Linked DNA regions of Rattus norvegicus. The protein of the gene in region 2 purifies or fractionates together with the protein of the main gene of each other region. This does not show direct contact. Links are inferred from orthologs where the notes say so. Each region holds a gene or a part of one and is shown on either strand. Other genes may lie near its edges.

Evidence for each region.
Region 1: the proteins of Mlf2 (region 2) and Bag2 purify together in Homo sapiens (affinity purification with mass spectrometry; 4 studies listed by BioGRID and IntAct, with this or other methods). This does not show direct contact. The link is inferred for Rattus norvegicus from reciprocal best matches to the Homo sapiens genes MLF2 and BAG2.

Annotation. Positions count from the first base shown.
Region 1 is NC_086027.1:43,473,690-43,477,972, forward strand, and holds the start of Bag2 (BAG family molecular chaperone regulator 2), read right to left. Parts: upstream 2,949-4,283; 5' UTR 2,929-2,948; coding exon 2,816-2,928; intron 1-2,815. UniProt on the Homo sapiens protein: Co-chaperone for HSP70 and HSC70 chaperone proteins. Acts as a nucleotide-exchange factor (NEF) promoting the release of ADP from the HSP70 and HSC70 proteins thereby triggering client/substrate protein release.
Region 2 is NC_086022.1:159,424,678-159,429,226, reverse strand, and holds the start of Mlf2 (myeloid leukemia factor 2), read right to left. Parts: upstream 2,829-4,549; 5' UTR 2,588-2,828; coding exon 2,538-2,587; intron 2,319-2,537; coding exon 2,192-2,318; intron 1,949-2,191; coding exon 1,913-1,948; intron 933-1,912; coding exon 879-932; intron 584-878; coding exon 455-583; intron 290-454; coding exon 130-289; intron 1-129.

The DNA.
Region 1 (4,283 bases), on a different chromosome or scaffold from region 2:
TGTGTCCCAGGCTGACCCAGAACTCACTACGTAGCCCAGGATGACCAAGTCCTCATGATTCTAGGATCTGGACTACAGGCGTGCACCACTATGCTGGTTTTCTGAAGCCAGAGATCAAACCTAGGGTTATGAACATGCTAGACAAACATCCTTCCCACCAAGTCCCATCACAGCCCATCGTTCTCACTGCTAAAAGATAATAACGCCCTCCTCCCTCGGGGGTTTTATAAGATTCAAATGACAGTGTGCACGAAAAGCGTTCCTTCTAAATTACAGACTGTTAACGACAAATTAAATATGGTGTCAACTTGCTTTGTGGGTCCTGGAACACTGGCACATGCTAACAGGAACCTTAAACAGTCAGAAACCAAAGCAGGGGGTGGCCCGTTTCCCTGGCCCCTGCTGGCTGAGTGAACTGGGAAGGAGCTGCTCACCACATGATCGGTTTTGGGAGATGTGTAAGCAGCCGATCTCCCAGTCCTACCAACCATTATACCTCCTTGGCCAATGTCCAAAGCCCAGCCCCTGACCCACAGCTCCTAGAAGCTACTCAATAACAGACATGCTCCAGGTCTTCAATGTTTACTGACTCAAACGCTAAATTGATTTTCTTCTCTTTTAGTAAAATCATATTCATTCATAGGTCAGACGGACAGTTTGAAAAGTGATATTCAAGACCAGGACACATGGTGTTGACCTGAGCAGCCGGTCTTCCCGTGTTCACATGTGAAGTGCTCTGCTCTGGACTGAAGCATGTTGTGTATATCTGAGCTTCAACTTCTCATCTGCGCAATACAGATAACGGTAACTCCCCCAGAGACACGAGGCCTAGCCTACAGACTGATGCTAACATGGATGATTTATAAACTAGGATAACCACTAAAGAGTAAGGCGTTCGGCCTCGACAAGCGCAGAATCCCCATAGAGCTGGTCATGTAAATCAGGAAAGGACGGGATTATCTTTTTAGAGAAAGCACTGCAGGAGAGGAGGCGTAGTAATAAAATATTGTTTTAATGTAAGATGGTGTCGTTAATATCATAAGCCATTAGAAACAAACGGCATCTGTTACCGATTTATAAAACATTTTAAAGCATTTCGGACACCCCCCGAGGTCAGTTCATCCTGCAGGACATAAAGCCTTTGATGTGGTTTCAGTCCACAGAACCAGTTCAACTGAATGGAAGATGCACACTGGCTACCAACCAATGACTTACACTACCCCATCCACTGCTTTTCCCACACATGGGCACTAAGAAAGTTGGAGGGACGTCACAGGAGCGTCATCTTTCTCTACCCATGTTTGAAAAGCCTAATTTTAAAGTGTCCTGCTCTGTGACACTGTCCAGGTGGCTTCTAAAAAGGGCCCCCAAACCTTAAAAGGCAGCATCATCCCTCCCCCCATTTCTTTCACCTTCTGACAAACTTACTTCTAAGTGCGCATCACATTTTTAAAGAGAAACAAGACTTACAGAAATCTGCGCTTACTGGTAAAGGCCTTGAACCACTAAACACACAGTAAGAAACCCCCTTCAGCGCAACTGTTAATAAGTAACATAATTTAATCTCCTATGGGCCGGGAATTGAGATTCCTTTGACGTAGTCAGACATTAGAATGTAACACTAAGCAACCCCCAGACTTTCAAGAGGCCCCCAGGAGGAGAGGAGGGACTCAGCACATGGCCGGCAGGGATTAACTCAAGTTTCTGAACAATGACTCAGCTTGAGGAAGAGTGACAACTTCCTGAACCCTTCAAGGAAAAAAAAAATCGGAGCAGTTGAGAATGTACTGTCAAAGTTCGGAGCCTACCTCACAGAGGGAAACACTCCTCTCTTTTCAGAGGGGCTTTAATGCTGACCCCCTCCCTTCTCAGCATAGGTCCCTTTGTCTCCCTCCGGTTTGGGGGACATAGGGTTCAGGCTTCTCTTGTGGTTGCTACTCCAGAGACTAAAAGTTTCTCACCTTCTGGTTCTTTTCTCCTAATAGTAAAAATAGCGAACACCTCAATTGTAACAAACACTGCTTGTATTTTTCTGTGCAAACATACTGTGTTTGGTGGATGCACGGAGAGAGATGAAGACGCACAAGACTCTTAAGATTTTGGCTCATATTTCTGCTTATGCAGAACCTGGAGAAAACTAGGGAACAACATGTGTCAGGGTGTCTCCATACGATTTTCATGGAACAGCGCCTGCACACAATCAAAACTTGCACAACTTTGGAGACCTTAACGTTCCCACCAGATACACCGGGGCTCATGTTGCTAAAGCCAAGTATTCACAGCATCTGCTAGTAGTATTCACGATTTAGAAATTTTACTACAAGGCCGTCCCCGTGATAGAATCTCAGGGAGAGTGTGACGCCTGCCTTTGGTGTTTTCAGACCTGCGACTGGCACTTCCCAAGTGTCAGCTGTGTCTTCTAAACGCACAACATACACGGACAGACTGCAGAGGGCACTGCACGTGGTTAAGAGAAGGAAGGATGGTATCCAACTTCGGTATCTCGCGCGGCCCCTTTTGAGTCTGATTCTCGCTGGTCCCCCGGAGGGGCAGTCCTGGGTTTTTTCTTTTTTAAAACTTACTCTTGTGTTACTATGAAGTGATCTGGGGCAAAGAAACTTATTACAGGGGAGGGGGGAAGGACCACACCAACCTGCTGCCTGCCCCCTGGAAGCGGGAAAGTTAAAGGCAGAGGGGGACCGCGCCGAAGGATCTGGAAGTTCTGCAAGCCGCACTGGCTCGCCGCGCTGCCGGCCGGGGGAGGGGAGCCCACCCGGAGCGCGCCCCCGCCCGCGCGCGCCCCCGCCGCCCTCACCTGAGCTCCAGCTGGTCCAGGCTCTCCAGCAGGCGGCTGGAGCGGTCGGCCATGGAGGACGAGCGGCAGAAGCGGCCCTCGTGGGCCTTGGCGCTGATCTTCGCCTGGGCCATGAGCTCCGGGGGTCCTCGGCGTCCGCGGGTAGCAGTGGCGCGGGCCGCACGTCGCCGTCACCGCAGGCGCCGCTGACGCGGACGGCACCGCCCCCACCTCCCAGGCTCCCCACCCCCGAGGCCGCGCGGCCAAACAAGGGCAGGCGCGGGCGCAGCCGCCCGCACGCCTGGGTGGGGGACCCTGCCCCGGGGCGCCGAGGGCCCACGCCGTTCCTCCCAGCACCCACGATTCACAGCAAGGACGTAGTGGGTGCTGCCCGTGACGTGGGGAGAGCCGGAGACAATTCAGGACGCCCTAAAGGGCAGTCTCTACTTGCCCGACCTGTCGGGTGACCAGGCGGGCTCCGGAGAGTCCAGGGAAAGCCTGGACCACAGGCTCCAAATAAGGAGAAGCCAAGTGCATCTGTGTTGTCTTGCCTTTCCAATGAAAGGATTATTACTTTCACACATAACTTGTTTAAATCCTCTGCGAATGATATTCGGTAGGCTCATGTGTCAGAAGCTGTAGAGGTCAGCAGGGCTGAAGTACAAAGCCGCGTCCACTTAAAGTCGTGTTTTGCTCTCTCAATGCACAGGATACAGAAATGCACAGGGAAACAAAGTTCATTTACTTCCTTCACTCAGAACTCAAAGCCATTAGATCACTGAACAGAGACAAGCCCCTTAAGTACGACTGGCTTCTAGTCCCACCCCTCCACCCCCCACCCCATCCTTATCCTGAACTCATCTTAATACTAATGAGCGGTGGATTATCTTGGCTTCATTAAACACGGTCATCTCACGACACGACCGAGAAATCTGAACATTTTGTGGACGTCTTGGAAGTCTGAGCTTGGGCAAGTCTCAGGTCTAATGCTCCGCTGGAGGCTGAGACAGAGTTGTGTGAATTAGGCCAGAGTGAATTCAAGGCTAGGCTGGGAAGCTTCAGCAAGCGCCTGTGTCAAAAGAAAAATAAAAGGGGCTGCAGACACAGCTCTGCGGTAGAGTGTCTGCCTCTGTGCTAGGTTGGCAACTAAGCCAGGCAGATGTGGTTGTTTGAATTCCCCCTCCCTGTACTCTCTGTCCTCATCACCAGGGAGGACTTAGGTGAGGCCTCGCTGGAGGAAGTGTATCCCTATGGGCAGGTTTGAAAAGATTCAAGCTATTCCTAGTGTCTCTCTGCCTCGACTTGGGTTTGAGATGTGAGTGCTCAGGGCATCTCTGTGGCCATTATAGACTCAGACCCTCTGTATCTAAGTTCAATTAAATGCTTTATTTTACAGGTTGCCTTGGTCATGATGTTTTATCACAGCAGGAGGAAAGTAACTAAAGTAACAAGCATCTTCAAATATGTTTGCTTTAATGTGTCACAAGTT
Region 2 (4,549 bases):
AAGGAAGGAAGGAAGGAAGGAAGGAAGGAAGGAAGGAAGGAAGGAAGGAAGGCAGGCAGGCAGGCAGGCAGGCAGGCAGGCAGGCAGGCAGGCAGGCAGGCAGGCTGGCTGAGTGGCTGGCTCACTCACTTTCGTCCAGGTTGATGTAGTCCTGCCGCTCCTCCTGGTCGCCCGTGCGGTGGTTTCGGGAGCGCTGGAGGATGTGGGCCCTATCCCGAATGTGATGCCCAATGGACATCTGCTCTAGGCCACTGTCTGAGTCCCGGACAGTCCTCCGTGTCTCCCGGATCTGGGACAAAGGGACCAGACACATGCAATTGTCCCCACAAAGCCCTGGCTACATCACCCTGGATGAACACACCACCCACGACCCATTCCTGAAAAAAGACGTCCCTGGTTCCTGTGTGTGCCAATCAGTCCTACCTCCTCTGAGATAGGGGAGTTCCTTACTCACCCCGCCTGGGGCAGAGCGCATCTCAGATGTCTCCTGGTAAACCTTGGGGGCACCATCCCCAGTGTTGGAGTAGGAGATGACCGTGGAGGAAGAGAAGGTCTGGCAGTTGCCTCCGGCGGCCATGTGCTCCTGAGGAGAGACTGAATGAGGAGGGCCTACTTTGCAGAAGGGAGCTCCCTCCAGCTGACTGCTCTTGCCTCAGCTTTCTTAACTACACAAGGAGAATGGGCATCACAACTGCCCAACTCCCTAGCCCAACACTAACACATGTGATCGCTCAGGGGTATAAGAACACACACAGGACCCCGGTGCTCTGGCTCAGCTCAGTCCAACCCAGCCTCTTCACTAGCACATCACCTCACCCCCTCCCGCCATGTTGGCTGCCACCGAGATCAAGGCCGGGGAAGACTGGAGCAAGTCATACCATGTTCCCAATCATGTCGTTCATCATCCCAAACATGTCCATGAAGCCGCCGGACTGAGGAAAGGAGAGGGTCAGGAAGATGGGTCAGCGGTTGTGGGCCTGTCACTCACCTGAGGACAGACCCGCTTTCCTTCTTAAATGTAGCCAGAACACTCATGCTCCTCCCCATAAGCTGCTGGCCACCTTCTCGGGTCTGTGGCTGTTCTGATGCTTCTCCTACCTGTGCATTTCCCTATCTTTAAGGAAGTGACCCAAAAGCAGTGAGTTAGCTCCTCTGAACATGCTAAATGTTGACGGTTTGCCTTTAATCCAACACTGGGAGGCAGAGGCAAGCACAGATGACTTGTGGCCAGCCTGGTCTACAGAGTGAGTTCCAGGAGACCCAGGGCTGTTATAAAGAAACCTTGTCTCAAAAAACCAAAATCCAAGACATCGACCAAAAAACCCTCTGAATATCTAGAGTTGTAAAAGTGTCCCAAAGTCTCCCTCCTCAAAAGAACTGCTATACAATCTTACTTTCCCCAGTGGATAAGAACTTCCAGCTATCAGGAGTATTTGAGCACTTTATTTATATTTTTCTATGAATGAGTGTTCTGTCTGCATGTATGTGTTCCCTCCATTCATGCAATGCACGGTAGGGAACAGAAGATGGCATCAGATGCCTGGAGACTACAGACAGACAGTTGTGAGCTGTCATGTGGGTGCTGGGAACCAAACCCTGGTTGTCTGGAAGAACAGCCAGGTGCTCTTAACCCTGGAGCCATTTCTCTAGCCCTAGCTCCATGATTTATATTCAATGGGCTCTAAACTATGTCAACTATCCAGAGAAGATTTTGAGACCACCCCTAGACTAACATTGTCACCAAAGTGGCACATCTGAAAATAACATCTAAGGTCTGTGTGTATCTGTGTGTCAGAGAAAGAGAGAGACAGAGACACAAAGAGCCAGAAGAGAGAGACAGACAGAGACACAGGAGAGAGAGAGAGAGAGAGAGAGAGCGAGCTCGAGGGGAACAGAGAAGACAAGAACTCACCATTCCCAACATCCCAAAGGGAGAGACAGCCCCAGCCTACAAGATAAGGAACAGAAGTTAGAACTACATCCTACGACCTTACTATACCAAACGTGGCCAGTGCCTCCATCCCCCAACCCCATCCTTCTCTCCTCGGGAGTCAAAGCCCCCTTTCCCAGATTCTCTATCCCCACTCCTCTGCCTCCCACACAGATCATGTCCTTTTAAAGCTGGTTGTAGGACCAGAATGGCAGCATACTTAACTAGTCACCCTGGGTCTCGGTATGTTCCAACTGTTACCTGCATCCTGCGGCTGGCAGGCCTGGTTGCTGGCATGTTACCATCTGTGATGCTTAGGAAGGGGCTATATCCAAAGCCACCTGACAACATGCGGCTCATATGCTGACGGTGAATTGCAAAGGGGTCCCTGTGGAGTGAGCATACAATACAGACGGCAGATTAAACCCCAGCCTTCTTCACCTCCCCCCAAATAAGTCAGGGTGCGCAGTGGCAGGAGACCAACTCCCGTCTGAGAGCTGCAGCTAAATTCTATCCGGTTCCAGACACGGGAACCCAGAGGTCTGTCTGAACTGCTCAGACCTGAATTAGAGTGGGATGAGTGCACGAGGGGGGAGGGAATTCTCACATCAGGAACATGGGATCCTCAGGCTCCACGTCCCTCATGAAGCGGAACATCCTGATCTCAGCTCCAGGGGGCTCCACACTGTGAAGATACGGAGGCTGAGTTTCATGCAGGCTTATGCACACCAGCTCAGTGTAGCTACTCTTAAAGCTGTCTCTTGCACACACTATCAATGACCCATCCAAACTCCAGAGAGACCCTTCGGCAGGTGGACCACATAACCTTCTAGTTTTGAGAGCGAGTAGCTCTCCAAGCCGGTCACGGAATTTTCCCCAAGCTTCTTAGTGTTGCCCCTCCACCCCCGCCCGCCATCCTCTTCCCCGAGCCACGGTCAGCTCCTCCTCCGACGCCAGTCTCGATGAGAATCTCGAACGGCGGCCCGCCACCCCATTAATGACCCCAACTACTCCGCCTTCTGCTGGCACGGGCCGCTACCAGGCCTCTCCGGGCGGGCCTCACTGCCCACCGAGCCGGTCCGCCGCTGCCCCAACCCGTGCCTCCCGCCGGGCGAGCCGGAGAGGGAGGTCCACTCCCGGGCTCGCATCCCTGCAACCGTGCGGGCCGCGCCGCCCTGGCCTCACCGGTCCCCGACTCGGGCTCAGCGGCCCATCCGGCCGGCCTCTCCTCGGGGCGCTGCAGGAGCAGGGTCTCGGCCCGGGACGCAGGGATTGGTCCGCGCGGGAGCTTCTCGCCTCCCGCACCGCCTCCTGCCTTCAGCTGCCACCTCCGTACCCCCGCCCTCGGCCCGAGGAGCCGAACCTCGGTCAGGCCCGAGCGGAAGTGACGTCATGACGGACAGTCTTGGGGGCGGGCCACGGGAGCTCCACCCACCTGCATGGGAGGGGGCGGCGGGCTCGCGGCGGAGCCCCGGAGGGCGGGTCCTCTGGGGCCGGTGGGAGGTCTCGTTAAGCTGGCACGGGGATCTGGGGACAGGAAGAGGCTCCTGCAAAGGTGGGGGAGGGCGGAGCGGAATCGGGAGGGACTGGTTGAGCGCGACGGGGGCAGGGTGTGCCGCACCTTCTTTGCGGGAGGGGGGAGGCGGTCTGTCTGGGGGCGACCGGTGGGGCGGATCCCTGCGGGGACCTTTAAACTCAGTGCAGGAGGGGCGCTTAACCAGGGGAGCGCGGGGGCCTGTCCCTCTGGAGAGACGCTCCGGCGGGCGGGGTCCTCCGAGTGACGCAGAGGAGGAGGTGACAATTTAGCTCAGGTCTAGTTCAGCCTTGGAAAAGGCCAACCAGGGAAGGGATGTTGGGAGTTTGGCCGCCAGAGAGCGCTCCTGGGCCAGGCTGGATCTTTACTGCCTTAGGACACCGGGTTGGCTTAGGCTTCTGGACCACTCCAAGACCTGTCTGTGAAGGGTTGGCCTGGGCAAAAGCGTTAGTTCTGATGTTTGCTTTTTGTTGTCGGCTTTTTAGTTTTGGCTTTAGTGCTCAGGATCCAACTGAGGGCTTCGGGTTTGCCAAGCACATGTCCTACCACTAAGTTACATTCCAGTCCCATTTCTCTAGCTCTTACGTCTTTAAAACTTTCTTTGCTTAGTCTAAGCAGGTAGGTAGGTCAAGGGACTAAAGTTTAGAAGGATAAAGAGGTGGAGAGTTAAATTAAGCAGAATCACTCAGGGGCGGAGCTAAAAAGTAAACCCATGAGGCCTGACTCCAAAGCCAGAGACTGGTATTTTGACATACTAATTGTCTTGCACAAAATCTGGCTGAGCCAGAGAGAAGAGCCCTCCCCTTTGGGTCAGAGGATATGAACTGAATTGGGTAGACTTTGACCCACAGAGATCCAAACTCAAAACTGTCCCAAGTTCTTTACTCTGGCTGTAAGCCACATTGGTACCGTGTGGAACCTGATCTAAAAAGAAAGGTTTATTCTTCACAACTCCCTGAGGGAAAAGAGTCTGTGGTTACTCGGGAAAAGATTGGGAGCAGAGGTTCTCAGTTTCTATTTGATCATTGCTAGAGGGGAAAAAATAGTGCTAACAGGAGAAACAGTGATATAGCTAAGGTAAACTG